6 linked regions of the Nothobranchius furzeri genome follow. The protein of the gene in region 5 interacts with the protein of the main gene of each other region in a biochemical or structural test. Links are inferred from orthologs where the notes say so. Each region holds a gene or a part of one and is shown on either strand. Other genes may lie near its edges. The genes, in order: TBC1 domain family member 10A, abcc2, pdgfrb, cftr, nherf1b and abcc4.

Region 1 (4,029 bases), on a different chromosome or scaffold from region 5:
TAAGACACTATTTTAGTTTTTTTTTAACCAATTTTTCACATTTTCTATCTATTAAACTGGGATCTAGAACTTAAAGGTGATGAAGACTGAAAAAAAAAACAGTTTTAATGATTATTTCTGATTATAATCGGTCACTCTGAGTTTGTAATTTAAATACAAAATGTTAAAGCTTTTATTTTGATATTTGAACATGCAAAAAGTTTATATAAGTGATCCAAAAGGATTCAAATGAAGGCAACTGGACGTCTTTGGTTTCTTGAAGATGCTTCGCTTCTAATCTGAGGAGTTTTGTCAAATCTGACTGGGTTATGGGAGGGTCAAACTTCTAATCTATAGCCGTCTATTGTGTAGAAGTACGTTGTGAATACCTAAGTTCTCCCAGATATCGATAGAAAAAGCAACAGCTGTCCCATCACAAACATTTACTACAGTAAACCCATCATGATTGGGACTCAAGAGGAACCAGGATTCTCAAACTGACCTCAAACTTGCTCCTGTTTTGCTCCTTTTTTGCTTTCCCTCCAGTGAGGTAGAGCCAGGCCCGACCCCGCAGGGATGGAGGAATTCCTTTCTGGCAACGCTCTTTCACCTTTTATTCAACAAACACACAGTTACTGCAGGATTTAATAAAATCCTGAATAAAATGAGCTTCAAATCTGATATGATTGTGTGAATTCATGCTTTTTAAACCACAGCTTGAACCTCTTTAAGGAGGAATTACAAATCAGTAAAAGCATCACATAAATCAGACCTTCTTGTGTTTTTTGGCCATCCACTTGTCCCAGCTTTTTAACATCTCCAGCCATTTCAACTCCCGCTGCCTCAGCACATCAGAGGGGATCTCCTCCGCCCTGAGAGGGAAAACACAACAAAGCTGGTATGAGTAGTCAAACAGAGTCCCGCCGTCCTCTCCTAAAAAGTTCGACAGGAGACACTTTTGCTCAGAGGGAGCGGAGAAGCAGCTCGTCTCTTCTTTGTACGTTCAGGAAACTTTCCTCAAGCGAAGCAGCTGAACATTCGCCATCGGAAGGGAAACAGGAAGCTGTGGGGGACGTTTACCCCAGTCTAATTCACTGTAGCCTTTATAAAGACACCTCACCGCCCAACGGCGCTGAGGAGAATACGAGATGTCTTCCGAACATGAACAAAACACAAACCTGCTGAGCAGTATGCTCTAATCGGATCACCAGAATAGTTCCGGACAACATCGGTGTCTCTAAACCACAAGCACATTTAACAGGTGAAAGCCAATAAAGTCAGAAGAACAACGCAGAACAGAGACGCTACATATAGATCGCTGGTTTGACGGGAGGATTTGCGGTTTCGTTTCAAACAGCTGAACATCCCATAAATGCCACCTTTCAGGCTCTACAAGAATGGATATCCTTGATCTTTTAGCACAGGGGCTGCAAACATTCCAGATTATAACCCATGAAAAAGTGAATAACTAAATCATAATGAAAACACAGCTACTGGTTTGATCTCTTCCATTGAAAGCATAAAAAAAGTTTTGATTCCTGAAGATCATCTCCATGATGTTTCATGAAGAACCACAATGGGGGGGTGGGGGGTCTCACTGATTTTATAAACGGTCAAATTCACAAACTGAGTTTGATCCATCATACTCAAGTTGAACAGAAATTATTTTGATCCATTTAGATCAAACACTGGTTAGTCACCAAACCCTAAATCTTTGACATCATTCTCAACAGTCACACATTCTTCCAATTCTCAACATCGGACTATGAGGAAGACTTGGTGGGAGTGTTATCAGTGAGTGTAACTCCTGGACTCGTGTTGTTCCAGTTTACACCGATGACAGTCTGGAGCTGAAACCTGTCCACAATAACATATAGTGGTTAAGGTGAGGCAAATGCTGGTGGATCATGTGATTATCTCACGCTAGTTACTCTGATGCGGAGCAACCATAGATCTACATTAACCAAGGTATAAGGAAACTCTTGGAGTGAAAGTAAACAGGAAGTTGTTTTACTGTTGGGTTGGTGATGTTTGAAACACAGGCTAGTTTAATCTGGGGTTTATCCGAGTTCGGGTGGAAACGGGCTCTGTCCCATTTGAAAAGGATAAAACTCAAACAAATCACTAGTGGAGACAGATGGCCCTGGCAGGATTGGGACATGACTAGGATAAAATTTTTGAATAACTGAAACAAGAGCACACTTTTGACTAAATGAGGACAGTTTTCGTGTTAGTTTAGCTGCTAGAATAAAGGAAAACCGGTGAGGGAGGGGTGAGTGTACTTGCTTTCGGCCGTAACCAACACTTACACGTAACTTCAGGAAATCCTCCCATATGTTTTTTTTTATTTACCACATAAATCTGATTATCTTTGACAACACACAATGACCATTAAGAAATTTTTTTCACATTTTCCCATATCTACCAGAAATCAGAAGCTGCATTTGAAACATCACCCTTACTCTTCTGTGGCGCTCTGCTGAGCTCCTCCTAAGAACCCATACTTGTCCACCTGTGTGTCCCCGGTAAAGGAGTTGTTTGATCCACGAGAAGTTCCTTTCTCTCCATCCGTCAACTTCTCCGTGCTGCCACCGATTTCGAGCCCATCGTCCTGCTCGGCTTCTGCCATTTAATCGACATCGGCAGCAGCAGAAGATGTCTTCAAACTTTAGAACGAGTTCTCCATCAGACTCCCGCTGGTGACAGCTAGCTAGTTGCTATGAGAAACAATTACTTAGCTACTCGCACATTGATGCTAAAACAGCCACCTTGGGGGCACGTTTTGGTAAAATGTCCTTGCTTCGCTATAGAAATAAATGTTTCGCTTACGCAAAAAGACTAGCCCGCTAGATTCAAATAGAGCGATTGGTTTTACCGTTGAATTAGCTCGGTGTCTGCACGCTAACTCCGACGGTAACATGCTACTATCTCACAGCTGTCAGCTGACCGACAAACACTTTCTACCGAGAATCTCTTCTGTCAGCAGGAATGCAGATTAGCTGCAGGCTAAGGAAGAGAATCTGCCTGACTGGTTAATAAACAAAACATCCTTGGAATCTCATTTAACCCAACCCTCTTCTGCCACCTACCGGAAGTCATCTGCTTTACGTGTAAAAAAAAATCAAAAGAAATTTCTTCTCAATTAACTTTATTGATAAAACTAACAAAGCAAAGCAGAAAAAAAAGAAAAAGAAAAAAAACGAAATTAACACACGTGTAAAGGTAAAAAATACACAAATACTGGAAACCAGGGCCGTGCAGAGACCTTTGACGGGGCGGGTGCTCAAAGTAAAAAAAAAAGGGGCCCTTATAGAGCAATCCAACAAGTTAGAAAATTCAGATAATGAGACCCTTGGGTTCAAACAACATAATAAAAATATACCAATTAGTATCATTAGTGTTAATGTTAGTTCATAAATAATAGTTTTAGTTTTTAAAGCTGACATATCTAGAGATGTTACAACCACATTTTTGCCCCTGATCCGAGTCCAAGTTGTTTGATTTTTGATTATCTTCCAATACCTGTTCTGATACCAGATGGTGATGCAATGCATTACAAAAGAAGAAAGAATTCATCCTTCTGTCTGTATTTGTCAATTTGTTATTTTAGCCTGAAAAGGTCACTCATTCAGGAAGTACATTTAACAGAAATCAAGATTCAAGATACTTTATTGCTATTGCACAGGTGTACATCCAAGTATATTTTGCGTCTACTAAAGACAGCTCTAGTAAGAGGTAGTAAAATAAATGTAAAATAAATGCACCACAGAGAGTTATCCAGTGTGATCTACAGCTATGTTAGCTGAGATCTTTTTCCTGTCAGTAGAAAATTCTTGATCCCATTCCATGATCTCACTGAACTTAACACTAAACATGAAAGCTCTGCTACCAACCTAACAACAACTTCCTTTGGGCAAAGGCACCATCATCACATACGTGGCAGGATTCTCAGTGAAACTTAGAAGAATCTTCTCCAAACACAACATCCCGGTAAACTTTAAACCCAACAACACCCTCAGACAGAACCTGGTCCGTCCAGAAGACAAAACA
Region 2 (3,500 bases), about 29 Mb from region 5:
TTTTGTTGAGTTCCACCTCTAAAAATAACATAAAACCTGTTGAAAAATAGCAATGAATAAAACACATTCCATTAACCCTTTGATGCATAATGGTCACTACAGTGGACAGGTACTCAAAATTGTTATTTATTTATTTTTGCTATTAAGCACAGCTGTTGAAGACTTAATTGCATTTGAGCCCCTCCATTTGGACTTCAGTTAGCCAAGCCAACATATTTCATGCTCAGAATGCACGGTGTCCACTGAGGGGGACATGTAATAAATTATTTGTAAATAATAAAATTTTACCAAAAAAATTTGTTGAAATTTGTTTCATTCACACCTAAAGATGAATGAAAAAAATGGTTAAAAAATCATGGTTGAAGATTTCATAATTCATGCATCAAAGGGTTAAAAAAATTCCATTTAAACAAATGTTTAAATGAAGGGAAACCACCACCAAACTGTAAAATATTCATTCAAAACACAAAGCTCTTAAAGAGCAAGTCACCCCCAAATAAACTTTTTTTTGCTGATAAACTATATAAATGTGTGTCTAATCGTGCTGCAGACACGTGTCGTCAATAATTTGGCACTTCAGTGCATCTTGGTCAAAATTTAAATATTCTGCCTAAAACTGGCAGTGTTGTGCCGTTGTCAGGTAAAAACTCTGCACTGTATTTTAATTTAAATCTGCCACCGCTATTGGCTAAGAGGTATGCTATGATGTAAACTGGTGCATTATGATGTCACAATGCTGTCCTGAGCCTGTGTGTGTGTGTGTATTTGTTAGCGGCTCCGCCCTCTCGGTCTGCCTGGCAACAGCATTTGTTGCATTTTTCAAACATGAAGTGGGAGTGGAGTTAGACTCTGGTAGGGGGTGACTTGCTCTTTAAAATTGCCTTTTAGCACTAGGTATGGCTACAAGCAATCCTAATCTGCCCATTAACACATCAAGTTCATTCACCTGCAGCTGAACAGTGATCTGCTCAGAGAAATGGTCCTTGGTCCGAGCTGACATATCTAGCCAGGACTCAACCTCAGAACCTAAATGGCATTATGAGTAAAAAGCCAGATGGTTCTTCTCCATTCTGGTCGAGGGGAAATGGGTGTTCATGCTTTCAGATGACTGCTAGAACGATTTTCCTCTTCGGCTCAATCGATCAGAAACAATTCCAGCAAAAGAAGTATTTTAAAAACAGTGAACAAAACTCCTTTGCCATGTTTTCAAACCACTCTTAGTAAAATAAGATGTGTGCCTTATTGGAAAATATGAATATACAAATGTTTTAAAGATACAGAAATTTTAATCTGTGAATGAGGAATTTTCTCTTTTATTTTTTTTGAAAGAAATAATTAAAATAGTCTTTCGGCCAGAGTCGGAGGTTTCCAGTCCGTGCCGTGAATTCTGTCACATTCATTGCTGCCTGAGGGTCCAATAGCAATGACCAGTCAGTGGTGGTTTTCAGCCTGCATGAAATGCATGTACCTGAATAATATTAGGTTTTGGTGCTAATTAATTTATATCTATTGCTAAACAGTATGAAAATGCACATATAAATCACTGCACATAAAATATAAATTAAATGTTTTTTGCTCCCTTTGGAAAAGGAGTTTTTAGTTTCAGCAGCTGTACATTTGTACTTTTTATTTGGATTTAAACAGATTTAGAAATCATCTAAATATGGCTGTTATTTATGAACAGTTGAAGTTTGTCTCAACTACACAGTAAAACCCAATTAGTTAGCCATCTAGAAAAAACGCCTGCAAATGGATTGCACTTAAAATAAAAAGTACACGGGTGTAGGTAGTTATGTGTTGGAGCCACACATGTTTACCACGTAAAATGCATTTAAAAGCTAATTACTATAAACAAGACACACCAGTACAAAGTACTTATTAATTTCCTTACTGTTTACTACTGCTCAAATATATGATACTCAGAAATACTAGTTCAGTAAGCTAATTTCCAAGTGGCTCAAACACGTGTAACTTTTTCATATTTTTAAATCATTTTCTTGAGCCAGTGTGCGTTAAAATGACCTTTTACAGGGTTAATGCAATAAAGACCCCCACCGCCTTCTGTGACCAGAATATCACTTGCAACTTCAGAGTGCCGGTCCAGTCCCTGCTGGACTTAGTAAAGTGGCGCTTACATACCTGGCATTGAAGTTTTCATCCAGCACATTTCCTACATGTTTTAGATGAACACAGCTGACTTGTTTGACTTGGTGATGACCCACTCCTGTAGAAATTAATGAAGGCTGGGGAGACATTTCAGTAGTAAGATGAAGGAGTTAAAAAGATTAACACACAGCAAGGAGATACGTTTCACTTTTGGTTTTCTAACAGACACTAAGGGGTGCCACAATGCAAACCAAAACTGTGTCGTATTCCTTTTAAGTGCAATTAGTTTGCTTTTTCTTTTTAAGTTAGGGTATCTAATCAGATGTCTACAGTGTTAATAATAAATCTTTTTCCATATTGCATTTTTTTCCCCTCTCAGAGGTTCTACGTAGCGACTTCTCGACAGCTGCGTCGTCTGGACTCCGTGTCTCGCTCTCCTATATACTCCCACTTTGGTGAAACCGTGTCTGGCCTGTCTGTGATCAGAGCCTACAAACACCAGGAAAGGTTCCTTAAACACAATGAAATCACTATTGATGAAAATCTCAAAAGCGTCTACCCATGGATCGTATCAAACAGGTCAGTTCAAGTACCTCCAAATGCATTTAGACAACATTAGATTGATTTATGTTAACGTCTCTGTGATATTTACTCAACAGATGGTTGGCCATTCGTCTGGAGTCTCTAGGAAATCTCGTGGTATTTTTTGCTGCTCTGTTTGCAGTCATCTCCAGAGAGACCATTGACAGTGGCCTGGTTGGCCTGTCTATATCATACGCTCTCAACGTGAGTCACACACACACACACAAACGATTGTTGTGTCTTTCAACAAAAATAAAATTTATCAAGTTAACCAACGTTTCCTGTTCCGACGTTTCAGGTAACGCAGACCCTGAACTGGCTGGTGAGGATGACCTCAGAGCTGGAGACAAATATTGTAGCCGTGGAGAGAGTGAGTGAATATTGCGAAATTGAAAATGAGGTATGTTTGCCACTTCCTTCTGTTTTACACAAAGATGCTGTTTTTCACTGGTTCATTTAATGGTTTTTGGCTAAACATTTGAAGGCATCCTTAGGTAAATTTTTTTTTTAGATTTGTTACTTAATTTTTGTTTGTCTCGCTATTGTTATAATATTCAGTTTGACATTTGCATTCAACACAAACATAGTTCAAATGAAAACAGCATCTTTCAATCTATTAATTCCTCTTATTCTGCAGGCTGAGTGGGTGGCTCAACATCGACCTCCAGAGAATTGGCCACAGGCTGGAAGGCTGCAGTTTATAGACTACAAGGTCCGCTACCGACCAGAATTAGACCTTGTACTCAAGGGAATCACCTGTGACATAACCAGCAGTGAGAAGGTTTGTGTGTGTGTGTGTGTGTGTGTGTGTG
Region 3 (3,500 bases), on a different chromosome or scaffold from region 5:
AACAAAACTATTAATATTTTATTAGCAAATCTCTGAATTGAAACCATCCGTTTTCATTCCCAATTGTTTTCTCTTAGTGTGCAGAATTAGTAGGTTTAGTCAGACAAAGCTAAATGGTTACTGTGCTAAATCACATCATCATTTCACACTTTTCGATCTAATGTTTGGTTTTTCTCATTATTCCTCATTTTGCAAATCTGCAAAATCCTCACATGCCAATAATCCTAACGGATTTCTCTGACAGCGTCAAGTCGAACCTTGTTGCTGATAGAAGTCCTGCTGGTAGGGCGATTCGTACGGGGATGGCTGGATGTCCGCATATTTGATGGAGTCTAATTGTTCCTGCATGGGCACGTAGACCAAAGGCTCGTCTTTGCTCATGTCCATGTATCCTCCATCACTCTCACTTCCAAAGGACACATAGCTGCAAAAATACGTTAAAGTGTGAAAATAATAATCAAAAAACACCCGACTGACCCAGATCCAAACGAGCCTTTTGTAGTTGCTGATCACATGAAGCATCTGTAACAATCAGTTAAACAGAACTTTTTGAAAACAAAGGCAAAGATTTCTCGGAAAAAGTCCTCCATTTTCTATAAAATGTTCCTTTGTGCAGCTCTGAATGCATTTTCCTCACTCATCTCACCCTTTTCTCTGACTGAGAGGGGTGCTTCCTCTTGATATGAGGCAACCATCCTCCTGGTTCTTTTCAGCGTAGTACTGCAAGAAGGTGTGCTTGTTCCTGTGCAGGTAGTCCACCAGGTCACCATAGCGACAGTACTCGGTAATCAGGTAAAGGGGGCCTAAATCAAACATGAAGGATAAGGATTTAAAGACAAGCTAAATGTTGCAAATACTGTTAATCTCTGGAAATATCCCTCAAAATGTTGTTGAAAATGAATTAAATGACGCCCGACTGTTGAAAAATATTGGCGGCTTTGTAACATATAATCATAAAAATCTGGTCTAAAATACACGAGAGCGGGTCTAAGTCTCTGGGCGACACCATAATAGGTGCCATGTTTCCTTCTACGGGAGCCTGTGAGGACAAAATGCATTTACTGATTTGTATCAAGCGGTTACAAATCTTTCACCATTCATAAACATTGTTGTTTTACACCTTAACCCTCTGGAGGCAGGCGTTGCAGATTTGCAACGTTAAAACCTACCTACCTGGTTACTCCACATATGTATTTAATGAGCATTTTTAAACTCAGAAGTACCCCCGAGGGACTTAGTTGTTTGTCCTTTTATCAAAACGTATTTTGAGCCTGAAAGGGTTAACTCTTCATTGTTGCCAGTGATGAAAGGGAGTTTGATGTTCTTGTTATTTTGCTGGAGGTTGAGCTCCCAGGGATTTTTGACCCTAATGGCCATCCGTTGGTAAGGTCTTACTCAAACACAAAAATACTGCTTGCTTGCAGTAATTTAGGTATGTACTGCCCTCTATCAAAAGGGGAAATACACACTGTCACTTTAAAAACATAACATGCACATATGGAAATTTTATTTTTAATATAGTTTTCTGACAAAAAATCATTAACTCTACCCCCTACAGGGAGAACTGCCTTGTGAGTTCTTATCTGTGGAAAAAAGTTCTGGCACTCCTGTTTCAGGAAGCAGAGCCAGAAGAAAGGGGGGCAGAAAACAGTAATATTTGGAGTCTTACTCATTATTATTCATGATATTGAAATATCTCACCTCTGATTGGCTAACAGCAATGCAACTCTTCCACTGACTCTGCTCGCTTTGCAAAGTTATGTTTAATCTCCGTAAAAAACACAAGCCTGAAGGAGTTCTGCTGTGTTGGGGAGTTGCTAATGCTAACGGTTAGCAAGTAACGGTCTCATGGAATGAGTTATGAAGGAATGATTGTTCCTTCTTGGCAGAGGTGAGGATGTTATAGAATTAGGGAAAGTCTGGTTGGGGTCTCAACAGGAGCTGATCATTAATGTATGAAAAGGGTTCAGTAATTCCATCAGCTACTTTATGGAGGGCAAGATGTGCCCTGCTAATCGGATCCAACAATCTTTCTTCCTAAGCTACAAATTAATGAGCCAAAACATTTGATTTGGCTGTAACATTTCACTTAGGAGTGCTGTGCTTACCGTTAGTATAATGAAACATAAATCAGTGAGTTCACATTGGCTGTGTTAACATGGTGTCCAGTGTTAAAACATCAACATTTCTATTATTTTTATAATTTCATCTCTGTAACACGGTTGTTTCCATTTCTTACAAGAAATCATAACTTTCTTGTTTACACAATTATTCACTTAGTGCAAATACGATCAATGCGGTTTAATCAGATGAGAAGAAAATGTGCCGGAAAAGTCATCTTTAACCAGTTATCAATCAAATTTAGTGGATTTTTCATCCAAATGTAACAGAAATATTTATCATTTCAACCTACTGAACAAACAGGAAAATGCAGAAATAATTGCTACAGAGTAATCTTTGCTGTAATTTTTAATATATATTTTTACGTGAACCACGTGTGTGTGTGTGTGTGTGTGTGTGTGTGTGTGTGTGTGTGTGTGTGTGTGTGTGTGTGTGTGTGTGTGTGTGTGTGTTGGTGGGAAAGCTTCGTGTGATGCCCACCGTGTTTGGTGCACGCCCCCAGCAGGTTGACGATGTTGAGGTGAGGACCGAGGTGACTCATGATCTTCAGCTCTGACATCAGAGCCTGAGTCTCACTCCTCCTGGCTGTAGCTGGACGAGGGCAGAGGAAAGAACACGTGTTAACCTGAACGTGATGTGAGAACAGCAACACGAGTACAGCGAGCAGGAGAAAAACGGTGTTCCTGCCAGAAAACGTCAAAAGAAACTTGAATCAGGCTGTCAGACCAGCTGAAGCTCAGCAGGCTGCTGCTGGGAGACAGTGTCAGAGAGCGTGCAGGAGGCTGCTGTTGCCTGATATCTTGCATGTGAAGCTTTTATTGTACATTGTGTTTCTTACATTTCAGCATTTTCACAGCCACCTTTGTGCTGGACTGGGAATGTGTGAGACCGTATGCAGTAGCCTCGACCACCCTGCCAAAAGCTCCTGATCCAAGAGTTCGACCTGAAACACAAAGAGGGCCTCAGTGGGACACGGTGTGAAATCTGAGAAAGAAGCAAACACTTCTCCCCATTAGAACATAAGTGAGAGGGATTCGACTTATTATTTTGAAGGACACTAATATAAAAACTTGCTTTGGCAGATTCAGAAAATAAATATGTCAAGAGCTTCGAGACAGTTTGTATGAGAGAAAATAACAAAACGCATGAAAAGGAGCTTTTAGCTAAACTGGGACTGAGTCCAGTTTAAAAAGTATTCATTAGGGATTCCGTGTGCAGACAACCAACCACTCGCAGTACAAAAGCCTCATGGGGATGGATCCAGTTTAAACAGTTTGTCCTCATCTGGGTGACGGATAAGAGCCTGCTCAGAGTCAGACACTCAGAAATAAACCACAACTGATCGATTATAGGAACCATCGACCCTTTACCCAATAACA
Region 4 (3,500 bases), on a different chromosome or scaffold from region 5:
TAATAGGGACCAAGCTCTGACACTGGTAATACAGGGAACTAACAGCCCGTATCGGAGAACCTGGTACTTCATACTCCCGGAGTACCTCCCACAGGGCCTCCCAAGGGACGCGTTCAAACGCCTTCTCCAAGTCCACAAAACACACGTAGATTGGTTGGGCAAACATCCACGCACCCTCCAGCACCCCCCTAAAGCATAGCTGGTCCAGTGTTCCACGGCCAGGACGAAAACCACGTTAATGCTCCATCCTGTCAGAAACCAAAAGCCTTTTTAACCCTCTCAGGCTCTAAATAAGTTTTGATAAAATGAGGAACAACTAAGTCTTCAGGGGTACTTCTGAGTTAAAAAATGCTCATGAAATATGTATGTGGAGTAACCAGGTAGGTAGGTTTTAATGTGCAAATCTGCATCTCCTGCCTCCAGAGGGTTGAACACCTTTTAGGTGTGGAGCCAAATAAATCCGAAGAACTGAGAAGCTGTGTGCAGGAGCTCAAGGTGTAGAGCGGTTGTTCCGTAATCAGAAGGTTGTAGGTTCGATCCAAGGTCCTGTAAGAGAACGCTGCTGTTGGCAAGACTTTTAAGCCTAATTTATACTTGGCATGCAACGCCATTATCCATCCTTCTGAGGGCTCTCCAACAGGCTCGCAAGGACAGATGGAGTTGAGCTCTCTTTTCTAAACATCCGCCCAATAAGACGGAGAATGCAAGTTTGTGATTGGTCAGGACGCCGTTGTCGTCGACAGCACCGCCATTACTCTCTCAAAAACATAAAGAGGGCTGAAGATATCTAGCGGCAGACATGGGGAAGCTTGAAGAATACCTCGTGGAAAAACTCTAAAAATATGAACTTTTATTCACCCCGTGACTAGAGGAGTGAAAAGATAAGCGGGTTTTTTTCTAAACGTGGGTTTAGAGGTGGCGACCACATGAAGAGGTGGAGGAGAATAGTAAATGCACTAACTTATACCAGATACATGACAGTTTTATCGTACTTCACATTGATTCTGTTGTAATATAAGTCATTTTGGTCTCTTAATTTATAATTTTACAAACAGCACAACTCTGCCACCAGCTGATATGAACTGGTGTCTTCAGTCTCCTTAAAATGTGAAATTGGGATATTTTCGGTTTTCCATATTCAGAAAACTGGTAAAAAGGTTAAAGAAACAATTACAGAATAATAGAAAATGGATTAATAAACCCAATGTATGTGTGTTTGTGGCATTATTTACTATTGTATAGGCATTAATGGTGTGTTTTCACCTGAAAAGAATCAAAAATAATGTCCCAACTTATTCAGTCCTAATCAGCAACATAAATACTAATCTAACTAGTCCTAATCTAACAATGACTGATCTGTAAACAAGTAAACAGGAACAAAAGAGGAAAAAGTAACACAGTATTGGTTTGGTAGGAATGAAGCAGTTTGGAGCAAGTCAGAAGGATAAAACGTATCAACAAAGGTTGTTTGTTAGAGATAAAACCAGCAGGCGGGGAGACACACACCTTTCCAGCCTCTCAGAGAGGGTGTCTGCCAGATCAAAAGATGGAGCCTTGTAGACATCGTTCAGATCCAACTTTTTAGTGAAGCCCTTCCTCAGCAGTGGGGAAATCCACCTGTGTGAAAATCACACATCAACCAGGTTGTTGTTATCGCTCGTTTAAGGCTAAAAGATAAGAGGCATTGCTCAACCAGCACTAAAACATGACTGAATAAATATGGATTTAAAGGGATTTTAAGGAAATTTAACAACCAATACATGTATAGAAATTTTAAATTTCTTTCTCATACATTCTCCTGCAGTGCCCTGGTCCTGTAGAATGATCCCTGGCATTTTGACTGTGATTGCCTCTGTTTTCCTGTAAAAACGCAGAAATAAAGCCTGCTTCCCCAGTGCCTTCCAGAGGCAGCGTAATACGTGATGACGTCATGCCCGTAGCGTTTGCTATCTGTAGCTTAGCAAGAGGCAGTGTTGCCAACTCAGCAACTTTGTCACTGTTCCTAGCGCCTAGTAGGGGTGGGCAATAGAAACGATATAAGGTAGAAACGATATAAAATTGGGTAATAATAACGTTTTTGGCTATATCGCGATATCGCAACAACACATGACGTCACTAAAGGTGCTTTTATAGGACACACCATGCCGGCATATCGGCGTAATATTACCGCAATGGTATGTCTATAAATGTGTTGCGCAAATATTGCGGCATTCGTTCCGCCTCGCTTGGTAGTAATATTGCCGCATCAGGCCCTTGCCTCTGACAGCTAAACGCGTGTCAGCCCCGGTAATCCCTCTGGAGCGACTGTGGGAGCCCCCCCCCCCGCAAAAGAGGGTGGTCACGTTAGTCACGTGTACTGTGCGCCGGGTGCAGGCCGGAAGGAAAGCCATGGAGACCATGGAGCTTTTGGCCGTGCGAGCGGACGAACAGATTAGTCGCCTTTTTACGGGGACGGTGAGAGACAGCCAGCTATTGGACAAAGCGGTGAAAACACTGGCTGAGCAGGAGTCAAAAAGCAGGTCACATCAAAGCTAAACGTCCTGAAAAAGAAATTTCATCAGTCTGACTTGTCTTCCGTCTGACGCTGAATGCGCGACCCTGTACATCACATGCGGGGGGGGGGGGGGGGGGGGGGGGGGGGGGGGGGGGGCAGCGACCTCGCTATATCCCGTCTTGGTTGGAGAGGTGCCTGATGGCAGTTTATTCTAGCTTCAGCTTTGCTACTATAAATGCCAAAACCCTCCCCAGGGTGCCGTGGCAAATCCCGTTTTAAAAAACGCTATGGTCCTGTAAAAACAGCTTAAGATGTGCACCCTGCTGACATTGGGTCAACAGAATGGCAGTGACTGCAAGCATGGAGTGGGTGGAGGAGGAGGCCTATATGCCTCAAGTGGCATATATTTGCCACATGAGGATATTTAAAAGCAATATATATAGCAATATATCGCAATATATATCGTTACCGCACATGCTTCAGATTATATCGCAATATAGATTTGAGGCCATATCGCCCAGCCCTAGCGCCTAGTGACAAATCTAGTAACATTTCTGAGGACCCTTTGCTACTTTCTGTAGAACTTACTTGTAGACATTTTCGGCAGTTTAGCAACAAAGAAATCATTTGCGCTCTGACCCGTTCTTCCAGTAGCAAGAAAAGAGAATGATTATCTGCGCTTGTGCACAAGAACATAAACCTTTATTGGCTGGTCTAATGAGAAAGCTGCTGCAGAGCTGCAGACTGCCGATTTACACCTGCTGCTGCTGCAGATTCACGCTTCTACTCGTGACGGTGCAGGCGTCATCCTGCAATCTCACAGCCGTCAGGCACTTTGGCTCTTGCATTTAGCAAATAAAGTCAGCTTGAGTTTGATCTACTGTTCCATTAACACACAACTCTGTGTCTTATCTGAATTTCCTTCAGTGACACGGGGATAGTTATATCATGAGACATCCGCTGCCAGTTGCTCGGTGCAACGGTGTGCGCCATTATTACCACGATC
Region 5 (3,936 bases):
TGATTCCAAATCTAGCTGCTCGCACTGAGAAAAGCTAAAGCTGTCATTACATTGTTGTTGTGAAGGATGGATGTGAAGAAGCAGCGAGTGCCCTCTACTTCAAAGCATCACTTCATAAAGATGAATGCTAAATGTCAGCGGTTTCTGTGTCTTAAATTGCTTTTTATGAGCTTTTAACAGTTGGGTGAGGAGGAAAAAGTTGTTTGAGGAAGAAACTAAGAAATATTTGGAGGAATTTCTGAAGCGTTTAAAAGTAACTAACTACCCAAAATGTCAGCATAAGCTTTGTAATAACACAAGATTAGGCAAAATGTCACCATTTTCATGTAAAAACATAAATATGTGTTTAAAGCAACTAGATTAAAAGTAATGTTAAAGTTGCTGCCAGTGGCTCATTAAGGTCAAGAGAAAACAAGATGACAGAAATGTCTACGTTTGATGTATGCTTTGTGTATGTACTAATTTTTAACAAAACTTAATAAAAGCTGCTTTCTTCCTACTCAAAAAAGTGCTTATTTGTAACTAAATATCTAAATTCAACTGTAACACGGATAATCATGACCTCTCTGACCTCCTCAGCTTTAAAGAGGTATAAATCAATGCCTTAGGAATCGTTCTCAATGGAAAAAAAGCTCTGGCGCTTCAGTTTCAGGAAGTAGAAGTTAGTCGGAGGAATGGGGGCATAAAACGGCAGGATTTGGAGACTTACTCGTTATTCATGATTTTTGGACACCTCACCTCTGATTGGCTAAGAGCAACGCGACTCTTCCACCGACTGTTTGCTCTGCAACGTTTTTCTTCTACAAATAACACAAGCCTGGAGGAGTTCTACCGTGCTGCCGAGTTGCTTATGCTAACGGTTAGCTACTACTAGCCAAGACCTGCTCTGCTCTCTCCTGAATCAACAAAAGTCTTCCCTGTCACGAGCCAAGATGGGGGAGTCCAAGTCTGACTTTTCTAATACGAGACTTTCCTCGTCTATTTACTCTCCACGGCAAAGACTGTTTTCACATTCAGCCTGCAAGTGAAATTCAGAACAACTGATCATATCTTAAAAATAAAAATAACAAGAAAAAATAGTTTCTCAGTGAACTTGGTCTTTAAGATAGAATGGAAGGAGAGGATCAAAAGTGGGGATGATTACCTTTCTGTGTGAACCAAGCCAAAGCAGAAATAGGATTGTATAAAAACACTTAAAAGAAGCCCAGCAGGTTCTGGTTCTGCCCTTTTGTGATATCTGCTGTCTCACACGCTCCTTCTACCCGTCTCACTGGGAGGACATGTGTTGGACTCAGACAGAAACAGCCTCAGGGGTAAACATCCAGAACACGCAAGGCGGCGCAGCAAGAGGCACAGATGTCCCTGACCGGAGCGTCTTCCTCAAGTGGTTTGAATGAATTTAAACACACACACACACACACACACACAAGTGTGACCAGAGAAAATAAGAGCAGACAACTGAGTGAAGCCCACCCCATAATGTTCCAAGATGAAAGGCTGAAAAACAAATCCCATAACGGGATCTCACTAGTGGGAATAAAACAAGACACCAGACTATTTCCTGCTGTTTGTAGTGGAGGCTTTAGTTATTTGATGTAGTTTGTTTTCACTGCCTAAGCCTGAACCTGCAGGCTGACGACAGAACGATAAACACAGATGTGTCTGTGGCCAGAATGTTCTGGTGTTGTTTGAGGCCATCAGACCCGAGCCTGAACCTCTCACCCAGCAGCCTGGTCAATAGATCAGCTGACGTTCGTCCTCTTTAACGTTATCTGTCATGTTTGTTCATTCTTTGGCCATTAACAAAAAGGAAACACAGAACCTAGAGAGAGCTAGCTCCTCTGAGCTCTACCAGCTGGGTATCGGCCATTGATCCACATCGGTGGACCTGTGGACATGAGACTGAGGTTGTCTTTGTCACTGAGGACCTATTCTCCTCAGGAGGACATGTCTAAGAGGAAGAGACACCAGGACGGGACATGATGAAACTTTTCCAGAACTCAACTCACCTTCTCAGAGCTGATGCTCAGCATCTCCTCCACGTGTCCGAGGATCTCCCCGTTCCTCTCTGGGACGGGGGTCAGCTCCCTGGGTGTCTCCGCCTGCTCCTCCTCCTCCTCCTCCTCCACCACCACCACCTCATCCTCCTCCTCTTCTTCTACTTCTCCTTGAACTTTCACCTCCTCCAGCCTCGCGTTCCCGTTTTCAGTCCCGTCCACCTCTACGTCCTCCTTCACCAATATCACCTCCTCCTCTCCGTCTTTCTTCTCCTCGTCCTCCTGCGTCTCCTCCTCCTCTCCGTTGTCCTCGAACGGTAACGGGAGACCATCGGAGACGAACTCCTTCAGGCACTTTAGGTTGTGTTTCTTCAGCAGCAGGTCCGTGTCCGGGTCCACCACCAGCAGCTCCAGTCGGCCCGCCGTGGCTCGGATCCGGGACACGACCTGCTGGTGGCTCTCGGTCTCCACGTCCTCACCGTTGACGAAAACGAGTCGGTCTCCTGCGCGGAGACCCGAGGACTCTGCCGGGCTGTCCGGCTCCACCAGGCGGATGAACTGGCCCGTCTTGCCCTTCTCTCCGTGCAGGTGGAAGCCGTAGCCGTTGTCGCCCTTCAGCAGCGAGCACAGCCGCGGCCGCAGATGCTGCTTCTTACTCGGCATGTTCGCTGCTGCTGCCGCTCTACCTGTTGCTCGGTCTCACTGGGAACGACTGGAGGCTCTGGGCAGGATGCTGGGGAGGACGGAGGGTGTGCCAGAATGAGTGAAAAACAACACCCAACCCCGTCCCGCTCTGATGTAACCCTCCTCCTCCGGGTGGCTCCAGAGTCCTGACCCGCGTGCAGAACTCACCCTGAGGAAGGAGGAGGTGCGTTCAGGGACCGGTGCATGAAGGACGAGTAAACCAACCGGGACAGAACACCAAGTGGAAATACCAGTTTATTATAATTATTTATAGTTTGTTATCATTTAACAGATCCTACTGTGATACCTAAAGGGAGTTTCTGGCCATTTTGAGGTTTCGGTGTAAAAGCAAATAGCCTCACTCAGCAGAAACAGGGTTTGATGGTGCGTTCGATGTATCTTCGGAACTCGGAAATCCCAACTTCCTAGTTGGAAAATTGTAACCCCCCCCCCCCCCCCCCCCCAAAAAAAGTCGGACCTCGCAGTCAGAAACTCGGAGGAATTTCAGAATTCCGAACTCGACAACAAAAATGGCAGCTCTTCTTATCAACAACAGTAACTTTTGGGTGAAATGTGTTTATTTAACAGAACACACATAGTTTAAAACCAATATTAAATGTAGTGTTTGCAACTCTAAGCTTAACATACTAAAAGTTTTGTTTGCGTGTTAAACGCAAATCTTAAAACCATGCTATTAAGAGGAGTATACAAACAATTACTACTTGGGAGGTGTGCGTCGCCAATATTGGAATCCTGACATCGCTGACTACAGTAACCAGAACGCAGTTAACTCAGGTGTGTCACCATTCCCAGTTCCAAATTCAGACTTCAGAGGTAAACTGAACGCACCACTAGTTCCAGGAATAAAGGTGGATGCTGCTGCTTTATAGGGCATGTTATGAAAAACTCACCATTTGCTTCCTTTTAGGCTGTGTGGTCTCTACTGCCTCTATAAACACTCCAAACGTGGAAAAAATCCTTCCGAGCGTTTTCTGCCAGTGTTTGATTTTAGAAATAATTTGCCTAAAACAAGCTGTTTTGAAAATTACGAAAACCATCTTTCACATGCAAGAAAGACCCATTGCTGGAGGAGTAGCGGCTCTACTCCAAGCCCCATCCAGATGGAGCTTCTCAGCTTATAGCAGCCTGAGCAGGGGTGGCCAGTTCTAGCTTGTTTTCTTAAAGTGACAAAGCCCTGAAACAGACCCTGTGCTTGATAGCAAACGCTTTTGATTAATGAACTCTGGAGAGCTGT
Region 6 (4,087 bases), on a different chromosome or scaffold from region 5:
CGTGTTTATGAAACTCCGATCAAACTCTGATCATAGCTAAAAGCAAAACATCACAACATCATTCAGACTTGCTTCTCCAGATATGAGAGTTCTGATTACATCACTCACACATACACCATTCATCTCACGTCTCATTCACACCAGATCCATTCATCACTTAGAGTTAGTCTTGTTTAAAATTCTTTAAAATTGTTTAGAAATAAATCTTCTTAAACGTTTTAAAGGTGACTCTCTCGTCTCTCACTTAATACAAGTGTTACATAATCCCTGCAATCAAAAGTTCCAATCTTCTGGTTAAAATAACCCAACTGTCCGTAAGGTTGATTTCATATTTACTATGGAATCTTACATCTTACGGGTCCTTAATTAGAAGTAAATTAACTCTTTTACATTTCTTTCCCCTTGCCATGGCAACAAGGGCTGCATTCCAAGTACAGGGAGCTCTGCTGGTCGTTTTACCAGCATGCACAGCTACAGAAGTGGAATGCAGCCCTCACTGATACACCTGTACCTTCTCTAATCTGTCAAATAAAGATGAAGTGTCCTGGCTCACTTTAAAGCGACGTCTCTGCTGGCCCGACTCCTCCGTTAGTGTGAGCTCAAGCACCAGTTAGATATTTATTTACAAACAAGCGATCAGAGTTGTGATGTCCTGATTAGTCTCCTTAAAAGGCTGGATCCAAACTGCCAGATAAGAGTTAAAAAGATCAACATGTGTGGTGTTGTGCATCGTTTATGGTTCTGGTTTTTCCTCTGGGAGTTCCTCAGAAATAAACAGAGCCGCTTGTGTTGTTGGAGATAAAAAAATCTGCGAGACAGTAGTTACACAGCTACTGGCTCCTTATCCTTTAAAAGGAAGTGAGAAAGAAGAAAGCTGCCTTCAGAGCAGCACTAAAACCCGTTAAATCACTGAGAAATTTACATTTCAAAATAAAGAACAAACGGCCTCCTCAGACCAGAGAGGGCAGAAGGGTAGCGGTGCAGACTGGAACCAAGGTGTGGATCTATCAGCACGGGAGAGAAGAGACTCGCTTTTGTTTGTTTACCAACAAAGTTCAACTAAACTAACGACGATCATCACCGTTCGTCCAGCTTGCTTCTAACAGATCTGGTTCCAATCAGCTGTCAGTTCCTAAAAGCTCAGTCACAGTTTTAAGAAAACAACGAGTACAATTAAACCACGCGTATCCTGTTAGCCTCAGATTAAAGGGATCATAAAAGCCGCTGTTTGGAAAATGGGAAATGTCCATCCCCATGAGAACCGTGGAGTAGACTGCTACCGCCGCGCTGTTTCAAGGCAGCAGGAATCCACAGTCACTATCTGTTAGCTTATCGATCTGGTCACACTTGTCTTCCATTTATCACCAATAAGAACAAATCTGTAACCTGTCCAACATTTAGGAGATAAAGCAGCACGCTCACCTCTGTAACTCCTGTCCCACGTACTCCGACTTGTCCTCCGAGAGCACCTCGAACATGTCATCCTCCTCCAGCCTGCGTTTGTAGCCCGTTCTAAAGAGAGGATTCAGCCACCTGACAGGAGAAGAACAGACCAGTCAGGGGGCCAGAGCGATCCAGTTCATCCCATTCAGGAAGTCACCAGTTATGATCCAGCTCTAGTCTGATCCCACACACTTCCCTTTTTCATTAAGGAGCCTAATGACACCTGACACATTCACCATGAACCTCGAGAGGACAGTTTGAACCAACGTTTTACACAAAAATCTTTATGGTATTCAAGTTTTTCTGCCATTTTCAGCTCATTGGAATAAACAGTAAATATAGTAGTAAGCAAGTGGACCGGGCTCAATTAGTATCCAAACAACATCTCTGCAAGAAAATCTAGTTTTAATTCAAGACAAACTTTTAGACTTGCTGTTTCTGACCAATCAGCATCCCCGAAAACAACAGATTTGAACATTTATGAGTATAAATAAATACTGTAAACTCAGTTTTCCACTTACACAGATTTATGTCACCCTTAATAACTCAATCACACTTAATCTGAGGCCTCACGCGCATATTTTAGCAGGATTTTCATTTGTACTCCTTTGATTTTTTCATTGTTATATCTTGGTGTAATCCTTTTGAGTCACATTTAACTTCTGCGTCACGGCCTCAGATCATTTAAGTCTTTTTGGGAGTGTTTAGCTTGTGCACAACGTCACTTTTCTCCCTGGGAAACGTAAATAACCGAGACCCCTGGAACAGAACCGAATCAAACGCAGTATCGTCTAAATTCAAAACACCTGGCGCTTACGGTTTTCCGGTTTCAGGAGCTGGCGCGTGTGATGACACGACGGCCAGGTGTCCTGTAGCTGGTGCCACTAAGCTAACAGGTAATAATAAAAACAAAACGGGTCAAAAAACTAACAAAAGTGAGAATAAACTCCGCTAAAAGACGTTTTAAATCGAACTGCTGCTGAGCCCATGCTTTGTCACAGCAGCACTTCCGTTTGAATACTTTTACTTATGACAAAAGTATGTAAACACAGTAAAAGTGAGCAGAGACACGTTTGAACTCCCCGCTACGCTAGCAGCGTCTCGCGCACGCCGGGTACTATTTGACCTACCAGAAAAACACCTTCGACAGGAGGTTCGCCGTCGCTGCCGGGTTGGTCTTCGCATCTCTGCTGACTTTCTCCATGGTTGCCGGCCGGCTTCCACACAGTACTCCACCTCCCTTAACTTTCTCCTCCTTTAAAAGCTGCCTCCGGCTAAGTGGCGCAACTTTGTAGTACGCACATGTTACAGGAGGGTCCTGCTACTGTACGGTGGATTACATAACACGTCAAGACACGCAAGCCGTTATTACATGCAGAAATAAAAAAAAAGGAAATAGAAACACTTCCAGGTCCCGCCCTAAGCAAATATGATTGGCTAATAAAATAAGAGGAACTATTCTATTGGCTGAGTGTTTACAATGCTCTCACGCGATTGGCCTGCGATTTTACGGGTGTAGAATGTGCTCCATGCGATCTAATTAATTATCTATTAATCCTTTATTGGGCACCCATTGAAGAATTTAAACTTTTAAATTTTCAATAAAATTGTATTTTTCAATAAAAGTACACTTCTGTTGTTACAATTTTCAAAAATACTTATTTTCAAGCAGAAATTCAGACGGTGATTAAATATGGACGTTGGTCCTGTTCTAGAATAAGAAATCCCAAAAATAAAAAACATGAACAAGTTTTTATTTTTGAATAATATAGATAATTATAAGACACTTTAGAATAATCTAACTAATTTTAAAACATATGACTCTTTACTAATACACATTATATCAGAATTACTATAGAATTTTTTAATGAAACCTGATAACTGTAGAATATTTTAGAAACGTTATTGAACAATAGATACTATTTCTAATCAAATATAGATTATTATATTATTTTAGAATATTTTATATTTCAGGATCTGTCATCTTCCTCCTGTTCATCATCATCATCACTGATGGTGAGATTGGTTGGCACAATACCTGTCCTCCATTTCCAAGAGAAATCTTAGTTTAAAACTGCAAATATATTCAATATCATAATTGTTCCTGTTACTATGAAGATTTTGTCTAAAAAAACAACAATTTTATCTAAAAATATTCATAACTTCTTTTACTTGTTCAGGGCGTATGTTCAAATATGGCAGATTTGATTTTTATTCGATGATTTCACCAATTTCATTGGGTTTAACATTTACAACACATATATCCTTATTTAGCACAACTAGTCAACCTTGTGACGTGAGAGTTTCATGAACATTGTTAGTTTTAGCGTTCTGACCATAAACACGAGAGGAGAAGTTTTCTGGCTCTGCAGACACCAATATTTAGCGCGTTATAGCCCCGCACTGATTGGTGGAATGGTGCCATGGCGCAAACCATGACAAGTTTGATTTCTGATGATTGTTTGGGTGAAATACTGTAACTCTAAGAGTTTGTAAAAAGGCATACTGACAGCATTTATGACGTGAGTGGAAGTATCTATTAGACACTGGCCCCTTTAAAGAGTTAATCATATAAACAGAGGACTGGAACAATTTTAGACAAATTTACTGACAGATCCTGATCATGAAATTTATCTAAACCAAT

Evidence for each region.
Region 1: the proteins of nherf1b (region 5) and TBC1 domain family member 10A form a complex in vitro, tested with the Homo sapiens proteins (2 studies listed by BioGRID and IntAct). The link is inferred for Nothobranchius furzeri from reciprocal best matches to the Homo sapiens genes NHERF1 and TBC1D10A.
Region 2: the proteins of nherf1b (region 5) and abcc2 form a complex in vitro, tested with the Homo sapiens proteins (2 studies listed by BioGRID). The link is inferred for Nothobranchius furzeri from reciprocal best matches to the Homo sapiens genes NHERF1 and ABCC2.
Region 3: the proteins of nherf1b (region 5) and pdgfrb form a complex in vitro, tested with the Homo sapiens proteins (2 studies listed by BioGRID and IntAct, with this or other methods). The link is inferred for Nothobranchius furzeri from reciprocal best matches to the Homo sapiens genes NHERF1 and PDGFRB.
Region 4: the proteins of nherf1b (region 5) and cftr form a complex in vitro, tested with the Homo sapiens proteins (9 studies listed by BioGRID and IntAct, with this or other methods). The link is inferred for Nothobranchius furzeri from reciprocal best matches to the Homo sapiens genes NHERF1 and CFTR.
Region 6: the proteins of nherf1b (region 5) and abcc4 form a complex in vitro, tested with the Homo sapiens proteins (3 studies listed by BioGRID and IntAct, with this or other methods). The link is inferred for Nothobranchius furzeri from reciprocal best matches to the Homo sapiens genes NHERF1 and ABCC4.

The regions. Positions count from the first base shown.
Region 1 is NC_091746.1:51,452,372-51,456,400, forward strand, and holds the start of TBC1 domain family member 10A, read right to left. Parts: upstream 2,801-4,029; 5' UTR 2,609-2,800; coding exon 2,442-2,608; intron 852-2,441; coding exon 752-851; intron 590-751; coding exon 482-589; intron 1-481.
Region 2 is NC_091752.1:21,701,304-21,704,803, reverse strand, and holds part of abcc2 (ATP-binding cassette sub-family C member 2), read left to right. Parts: intron 1-2,485; coding exon 2,486-2,685; intron 2,686-2,765; coding exon 2,766-2,892; intron 2,893-2,986; coding exon 2,987-3,088; intron 3,089-3,325; coding exon 3,326-3,469; intron 3,470-3,500. UniProt on the Homo sapiens protein: ATP-dependent transporter of the ATP-binding cassette (ABC) family that binds and hydrolyzes ATP to enable active transport of various substrates including many drugs, toxicants and endogenous compound across cell membranes.
Region 3 is NC_091741.1:96,092,751-96,096,250, forward strand, and holds part of pdgfrb (platelet-derived growth factor receptor beta), read right to left. Parts: intron 3,065-3,500; coding exon 2,960-3,064; intron 2,713-2,959; coding exon 2,602-2,712; intron 804-2,601; coding exon 647-803; intron 425-646; coding exon 258-424; intron 1-257. UniProt on the Homo sapiens protein: Tyrosine-protein kinase that acts as a cell-surface receptor for homodimeric PDGFB and PDGFD and for heterodimers formed by PDGFA and PDGFB, and plays an essential role in the regulation of embryonic development, cell proliferation, survival, differentiation, chemotaxis and migration.
Region 4 is NC_091744.1:52,976,581-52,980,080, reverse strand, and holds part of cftr (cystic fibrosis transmembrane conductance regulator), read right to left. Parts: intron 1,618-3,500; coding exon 1,507-1,617; intron 1-1,506. UniProt on the Homo sapiens protein: Epithelial ion channel that plays an important role in the regulation of epithelial ion and water transport and fluid homeostasis. Mediates the transport of chloride ions across the cell membrane.
Region 5 is NC_091752.1:50,771,292-50,775,227, reverse strand, and holds the start of nherf1b (Na(+)/H(+) exchange regulatory cofactor NHE-RF1), read right to left. Parts: upstream 2,801-3,936; 5' UTR 2,661-2,800; coding exon 2,010-2,660; intron 1-2,009. UniProt on the Homo sapiens protein: Scaffold protein that connects plasma membrane proteins with members of the ezrin/moesin/radixin family and thereby helps to link them to the actin cytoskeleton and to regulate their surface expression. Necessary for recycling of internalized ADRB2.
Region 6 is NC_091754.1:57,242,153-57,246,239, reverse strand, and holds the start of abcc4 (ATP-binding cassette sub-family C member 4), read right to left. Parts: upstream 2,801-4,087; 5' UTR 2,648-2,800; coding exon 2,574-2,647; intron 1,534-2,573; coding exon 1,423-1,533; intron 1-1,422. UniProt on the Homo sapiens protein: ATP-dependent transporter of the ATP-binding cassette (ABC) family that actively extrudes physiological compounds and xenobiotics from cells.